Rattus norvegicus: one gene and its partner. The protein of the gene in region 1 binds, or shares a complex with, the protein of each later gene. Links are inferred from orthologs where the notes say so. Each region holds a gene or a part of one and is shown in the gene's direction. Other genes may lie near its edges. The genes, in order: Cdhr5 and Myo7b.

What was found.
Region 2: Cdhr5 (region 1) and Myo7b share a complex: the UniProt entries of both Homo sapiens proteins name them as parts of the IMAC/intermicrovillar adhesion complex. The link is inferred for Rattus norvegicus from reciprocal best matches to the Homo sapiens genes CDHR5 and MYO7B.

Annotation. Positions count from the first base shown.
Region 1 is NC_086019.1:205,805,105-205,808,375, reverse strand, and holds part of Cdhr5 (cadherin-related family member 5 precursor), read left to right. Parts: intron 1-201; coding exon 202-294; intron 295-432; coding exon 433-534; intron 535-643; coding exon 644-754; intron 755-842; coding exon 843-1,013; intron 1,014-1,548; coding exon 1,549-1,639; intron 1,640-1,720; coding exon 1,721-1,818; intron 1,819-1,921; coding exon 1,922-2,122; intron 2,123-2,254; coding exon 2,255-2,368; intron 2,369-2,443; coding exon 2,444-2,528; intron 2,529-2,626; coding exon 2,627-3,202; intron 3,203-3,271. UniProt on the Homo sapiens protein: Intermicrovillar adhesion molecule that forms, via its extracellular domain, calcium-dependent heterophilic complexes with CDHR2 on adjacent microvilli. Thereby, controls the packing of microvilli at the apical membrane of epithelial cells.
Region 2 is NC_086036.1:23,941,068-23,945,677, reverse strand, and holds the start of Myo7b (unconventional myosin-VIIb), read left to right. Parts: upstream 1-1,628; 5' UTR 1,629-1,714; intron 1,715-4,610. UniProt on the Homo sapiens protein: Myosins are actin-based motor molecules with ATPase activity. Their highly divergent tails are presumed to bind to membranous compartments, which would be moved relative to actin filaments.

The DNA of each region.
Region 1 (3,271 bases):
GTGCATTCCTCCTAGAACAGGAGCTCCTAGGCCATCACATTGTTGATGCCACCAGTGTCTGTGGAATGAAAGACAAAGAATGACTGACTAACTGAATGGATGAATGAATGAATGAACAGATAAGAAGAGGAAGGAATGAATGATGGGGGGCATCAGAGCATTCTCCTCAGCCAGGGGCTGACCCTGGTGACTTTGCTGCAGGTGACACAGTTCAGGGTGTTTGTGGCTGTCCTGGACATCAATGACAATGCACCAGAATTCCCCTTTACAATCAAGGAATATAATGTATCGGAGGTGAGTCCAGTCTGAACCAGTGCTGTCTGAGTATGGGGAAGGCAGGGGGACACAGGGGTCTCTGGGAGACAACATCAGGGAGATCTATATACAGAAGCTACAGCATGGCTGGACCAACCTCTTCCTCTCCATCCCCAGGACACCAGAGTGAATACGATCGTCATCCCTGAGACAGAGCTGAAGGCTACAGATGCTGACAAAGATGACATCCTAGTCTACACTCTGCAGGAAGTGACCCCCGTCAGTGCTTCCCCATCCCCACACATTGCTGACAACCCCCACCCTTTCTGATGCCTCCAGGCCTCAGTTCATCCACCTTCCAGAGTCCAACCTTCTTCCCTTCCCACAGAATGCCAGCAAGTTCTTCTCCCTGGTGGGCATAAACTCCCCTGCTCTGAAGTTGGACCAGACTCTGGATTACTACAAGAGTCCGAACATGACCTTCAGGCTGCTGGCACGGGTAGGCAGATCACATCTTCCTGAGTCCTGGATGTTGTAGGCCCTGTCCACGCTGGGCCTAACCTATCAGGGGCTGGCTGTTACTACAGGATACTAGGGAAGAGAATGTAATTCCCAGCCATACGGCCACTGCCACCGTGGTCTTGAACGTGCTGCCAGCTGACCTACGGACCCCCTGGTTCCTGCCGTGCTCCTTTACGGATGACTACTTCTGCATTCAGGCCCAGTACCACACAGTTATCCCCACAGGACACAAACTGGTAATGGGAAGTGAGGAGGCCCAGGGTCAGACTTGAATCTAAGGCCAAGTCAGAAAATATTCAGGGTAGGGATCTGGCCGCCGTCCTGCACTCCTGGAGAGGCTTGTGGACAATTCTGTGATTTGTGAAACAAACCTGAATGAACAATTAATCAATCAATTAATCACCAATCAATCATTAAGTATCCTTCCCAGCCAGGTGGGGGTGGGGCATACAGACAAAAATCAGTGAGGAGTACATGTCGGCTGGGATGTGAGGAGCTCAGGGGCTGGGCTGATGCTGATAAGGATCTGCTAAGTCCTTGGTCAGCTGAGTCTCCTGAGGCCAGTGGTGTCCCTGGGCAGGCGGCATACACTGGGGCTACAACATTTCCTTCTTAGCTTCTTGTTGCCACTGAGTCCTGCTGTGGCTGCAGCTCTGTCCCAAGCAGGCACTGCTCCTCCCTCCAGGCTCCAATCCATGTTTCAGATCTTGAGGGACAACAAGAGAGTAAGAGCTGGGGCTCTTAAACCTCAAGATGTTCCTATTCTTACAGCCATCCCCTCTCATCTTGAGTCCTGGTCCCATCTATGCTGTGGACGGAGATCAGGCCATTAACCAGCCTATCGTCTACAGCATTATGATGGGTGAGTAACGGCTTAGCCCCACAGCACCTGGACCCCACAACAGAGGGACCAGACACCAAACTCCACCACGAATTCTCCCAGGAAACACGGATGACACATTTATCATCAACAAAGACGATGGCAACCTCACGATGGCCAAAAGTATCCCCAGCCCCATGACCTTCACCCTGGTGGTCAGGGTGGGTACCAGCACTGGATGAGAGAGGGGTCCCCTGTGGCCCCAGCTGTGGCCCCAGCTGCCTTAAATCCCAATACCCACTCCCGCTTCCCCTGACTCCTCAGGCTGAGCAGGCTGACATGGCTCGATACTCAGTGACTCAGGCCGTTGTGGAGGCTCGAGATGTCACTGGGAACCCACTCCAGTTCTCTCAGAGCCTGTACTTTGGCACGGTGGTACTGGGTTCTGAGGCTGGCACAGCAGTGAAGGACAAGACCTTCCCTTCAGAGATCCTGAGGATCCAGGCTCAGTACCTAGGCTTCCCGGTATGCAGTCCCTTCCTGTTTACCTACGAACCCTATAAGTATACCTGGACCCTCTGGCCTCCTCTCTCTGTGTAGACTACTTGGGATGGACTATAGAGTACCAGGCCTAGGTCTCACTGGAGTCTCATCTAGGACCTCAACTCGGCTGTCACATATCAAGTCACCAACTCCTCAGAATTCATCATGAATAAGGATATCTTGCTGACCACTGTGCCTATGGAGACAGAAAGAACAATCCGCATAGAGGTGGAGTGGGGATAAGGGGAGTAAGGTGTGGGGGTAAAAAGGGACCCAAGAGAACAAGTCCCTTTCCTGACCCAGGTAGAAGCTAACAATACTGTGACTAAAGACATAGCCACCACTATTGTGGAGATCCAGGTGTCAGAGCGAGAGCCGCCCTCCACAGGTGAGCACCCCCAGATCCCCAGGCAGGGTGGCTCCTCCTCTGGGACAGGCATATCTGGGGACAGAGGCAAACCCGAGTTCTGTACATGCCACCACCAGAGTCCCCCACACCCCCAGAAGCTGGAGGAACAACTGGGCCTTCAAGTAACACCACTTTGGAAACCCCCTCGACCTCTGGGACCTCTCAAGGACCTGCCACAACCAGCTCTGGGGGAAGTGCTGGCCCATTCCCACCTGCAGGCACAACTCTAAGCCCACTCACCTCTGCCCCAACTGTACCTGGGGGGTCCCCTACTCTTGGAATCAGCACCTCTCCCCAGACAGCTACTCCTGGTGGGGATGCAACACAGACCCCCAAACCAGGTACCTCTCAGCCAATGGTCCCCACTCCAGGGGCTAGCACCTCTTCTCAGCCAGCCACACCTAGTGGCAGCTCAACCCAGACCCCCAAACCAGGAACCTCTCAGCCAATGGTCCCCACTCCAGGGGCTAGCACCTCTTCTCAGCCAGCCACACCTAGTGGCAGCTCAACCCAGACCCCCAGGCCAGGAACCTCTCAGCCAATGGTCCCCACTCCAGGGGCCAGCACCTCTTCTCAGCCAGCCACACCTAGTGGCTCAACACAGACCCCCAAGCCAGGAACCTCTCAGCCGACAACCACTGGGCCCATATCAGGTAGTCTAACACGTTGCTCTGGAGTCACTGTCACCCTTAACTCAGACAGGGGTTCTAGGATGTGCTCTA
Region 2 (4,610 bases), on another chromosome or scaffold:
TGTTTTTTTTTTTCGGAGCTAGGGACCGAACCCAGGGCCTTGTGCTTCCTAGGTAAGCGCTCTACCACTGAGCTAAATCCCCAGCCCCCACCGATGGGCTCTTAGAACTAGGTAAATGCTTAGAGATGGTTCCTACCTTGTTATAAAGGGATATAACAATGGCTATAGATAAATGGCCAAGGTAAGAGATACAGAGACAGGCTTATGGGAAAGCAGGGCACAGAGCCTCCCTGCCCTCTTTGGCTGCCTCTCCCCAAGCATCTCCTGTGCTCTGTATCTGAAAGCTAATGAAGTCTTATCCAGGAGTTTTACCTTCCCAGAGGTCAGTGAGAGGTCCAACTCTCCACTTAAGTAGTGGTGACTGGTGCCATCCTGAGGCCCTCCGGACTCCAGAACTGGAGCATAATCTCAAGTATCATCAGACAGCTATGAATCACTTCACACACTCCACACACTTAGGGAATGCTCAACTTTTCCAAGTTTTGTGACACAAACTAGGAATAAAGGTATTCAAGAGACACACCTGTGTCCCACTTTGGCTATCCGGGTATTGAGACAAAGGTGCCTGGGAAATAGAACTTTCTCGGGAATCTCGTGCCGGGAGAAGGCTGAAGCCCAGTGCCAGTCAGAAGAGGAACTTGTCTCCCTGAAGAGACTTCACACTTCTGATAATGTGTTTGACCATTTCCAAGATAGATGAGCTGAAACAATGGTGGGTCACTGGTGAGCAGTACCATTCCCTTGACCAGGAGTGCTTAGGCACGGGCACCTCTTGTCCTCTGGTTAAACCTAGACTCCATATGAGAATTCAGAAAGTGGACTTGGGAGGGTCACCGGACCCCTTCGTCCCTCTACACAATGTAGCTCTAATGAATGCAGTGGTTTCAATGATACAAGCTCCCATAGACTCACGGATTCCTTGGCAACCAGAGAATGGCACTATTTAAAAGGATTAGGAAGTGTGGCCTTGTTGGAAGAAGTGTATCACTGGGGATGGGCTTTGAGGTTTCAAAAAGTCCATTCCAAGCCCAGAGTCTCTCTCTCCCTGCTTTTCCTGTTTTTGGTTACCGATTTTTTTTTTCTTTTCTTTTTTTTCGGAGCTGGGGACCGAACCCAGGGCCTTGCGCTTGCTAGGCAAGCGCTCTACCGCTGAGCTAAATCCCCAACCCCTTGGTTACCGATTTTTAAAAACGTGTTTTATTGACGATGGGTGGCTTAGCCTAGCTAGCGTGGGCGGCCAGGACCCACCCAGGTTCTGACCTTATAACTCCAATATCTCTACCGTGTCTCAGCCCTAGCCAGTACTCAGATGCTTCCTCAACCTTGGAACCTCTACCACTCTTCGAAGACACCGAACTGTCTGGACAGTCAGCTGGTTGTCACCCAGGGCTTGGCAAGTGATAAGCAGAGCTTTTTAGGACACAGACTCTGAGGCTCTAGGGAGTGATTATCACAGCTCAGACTGAAGAGCAGACAGTTTCCAGGCTGCTGGCTGGGGCTGCAGGAGGACCTGTGGGAGTGGATATTCCTGAGACAGAGGACAAAGTCCCGTCATAAATTACATATGCCCACAGTGCTTAGCTACTTCCGCTTGGAGCCCTTCCTGTCCTTTCTCTCCCACACTGCCAGGAGCTCTGAACCTGTCTCCCTACTTGGATCTTTCAGGGTGCCCTGGGTGGAGTCAATAGGGTCGCTATACTCTGATCCTGATAAGGTAAGAGAACCCTGGAATACGTGCAAAGAGGGGTTCCAGGCAGGAAGTTGATCTGGAGGTACAGACCTGGGAAACAGGATGGGGCAGGTTTGTGGAGCGGAGGGCTGGAGGTGCCCCTTGAGACTTAGGAAACCCAAAACCTCAGTCCGGCACTTGTAGGGCAGTTGATTCGGGCAGCGGGCTTTCTCCTGGAGGTGAAAAGGGCTATTAAGTCCAATGCTACTGGAGGGTCGGCACCACTCAAGGAAGTAGCCGTCTGCTGCTTCTCCTCTAACCCTGCTGAAAGGCCTCCCATGAAATCCAAGGGACTGAGGACAGCCTAGGTACCATGCTGAGCCCATGTTGTACCAAACCAAGAGACTCTCTGTATTCTCAAAACACTACAGTGATATGGTCTCCACTTTACAGGCAGGAGACTGAGGTCTGGGGCTGGGGTGCCTCCGGAACAAGTGCAGCTCATTCTTGATTTCCACCTAGGCTCATCCACTTCATCTATGGAGGCAGGTTACTGTGTTTAGTCCTGGGCATTGGTTTGAGGCAAAACTGTCACTCATTGTCCTTAGAGCCTTTTCGGGATTCGAGTGTGGGTGTAGGAAGAAGAGATGGCAAAGGAGAGAGATACCCGGCTATAGGCACCCCGGGTGAGGGCACCCCGGCTGTGGGCACCCCGGCTGAGGGCACCCCGGCTGTAGGCACCCCGGCTGTGGGCACCGGGCTGTGGGCTTGATGTGTAATACTCCACTCATGGAGGCGGAAAATGGTCAGTAGGGACCCGAAGTCAGTAGGGACCTGCTGAGGTTTGGTAGCTGGTAGTGTGAGGGCCCCCGCCCTAAGTCTCCTAAGGTGGGTATGCCTGTTTCCTCTTACTAGGCCTCTACTCAGAATCGACTTTATATCTGTGGGTGTCAACTTTGTTCTGATTCATAAGACCCCTGAACTCTGTTTAGGATTGCAGCTTAAAAAAAAAAAAAAGAAAGAAAACCTTGAGGGTCATGCTATGCAGTGAGCACTTCATCGAAGGAGCCATTTTCCCAGCCCTCCCTTGTGCTTGAGCCTCGGTAAAAGCTCATTCAGTCGGTATTGCTTGCCTTTTACGATTTCTACCTCCAGCTCAGGGTCAATTGGCAGCAGGTATGCTAATGTATGCCAGTCTTTTCTCCCACACACCAGTTCCTTTTCTGAGCCCCCAGAACTGTCTCTAGCTCTCAGAACAGAGCTGGAACTCAACCAGGAACCTTGATAAAGCTTTCTGGTAATATCCCACTGACTTAGGCTGAGTCCAGAAGGAATCAACTAAGAGTTCCAGGTTCTGTGACCCAGAACAAAGAACTAAACTATTAATAAAGAAAGAAATATTGAAGCTCTTGAACTAAAATATTCCATAACAACCTCATGGATAATTCTAGAAATAGAGACCATTTGCTAAGAAAGACAAAGACTCTTTCACACAAACACCTGCTTTATTGAAAGAGGAAACAAAATAGTGTCTTTATTAGCTCATATGTATACCAATAATAAAATAGCATTAAAGAAAAACGAGGAAGCAAGATGAGGAGAAAAGCAAGGTAGTGCAACTGGGAAAAGAGATACACACATGCACATGTACACACACACACACACACACACACACACACACACACACAGAGAGAGAGAGAGAGAGAGAGAGAGAGAGAGAGAGAGAGAATTATCATGCAAGTGGAAAGAAAATTATACCATAATGAATTTCATAACAAAAACAGCTGGAGGTGTGAATAGTTGATAGGCTGTTTGGCTAGCATGACATAAGCCCTGGGTTCAGTCTTCCTCGGCACATAAACTGGCTGGCTGTGGTGATGCATGCCTGTAACCCCAGCACTTGTCAGAGGGAAGATCAGAGGTTCAAGGTTATTGTTGGATACAGAGTGAGACTGAGGACAACCTAGGATACATGAGACCCTGTCTCAGAATAGATAGATAGGTGGACAGATGGCTAGAGGGATGGATAGATAGATGGGTGGGTGGATAGATAGATAGATAGATAGATAGATAGATATAGATAGATAGATAGATAGATTATAGATAGATATATGGTTAGATAAATAGATTATAGACATATAGACATAGATAGATAGATAGATAGATAGATAGATAGATAGATAGATAGCTGATAGATAGATGGATAGATTATAGATAGATATATGGTTAGATAAATAGATTATAGACAGACAAAGATAGATAGATAGATAGATAGATAGATAGATAGATAGCTGATAGATAGATGGATAGATTATAGATAGATATATGGTTAGATAAATAGATTATAGACAGACAAAGATAGATAGATAGATAGATAGCTGATAGATAGATGGATAGATTATAGATAGATATATGGTTAGATAAATAGATTATAGACAGACATAGATAGATAGATAGATAGATAGATAGATAGATAGATAGATAGGTAGGTAGATAGAGGAAGGAAAGAAAAGGAAAGCAGGAAGACAGGAAGGAAGGCAGGAAGAAAATAAGCTTGCTCTTGTATGGGAGAAACATAACAGCTTTTGACTTCTTGGGCTCTGGCAGGCCCTTTCTCTAATACTGACCACCCAGAGTGACCTTCTCTGGGCTTGCTTTGGGACCACTGGCTAAGCTGGGTTGGTGCTGAATTCAGGTTAGTCTGGCCTAAATCCCATCGCCTGCTGGCACGTGCTGATGTGCCCTCCCAGCCCCTGTGCTGGGTTGTGGCTCCTGCATCAACCTTTCGTTTCCTTGGGTGGTGACTCCCATGTCCTGGATCCTGGCCCTGGGGCCACATGGGGAATAAGCAATCTTTGCTGACCTAGGATGACTTCTGTGACTTATTCATGTCTTTTTTTTTTTTTTTTCGGAGCTGAGGACCGAACCCAGGGCCTTGCGC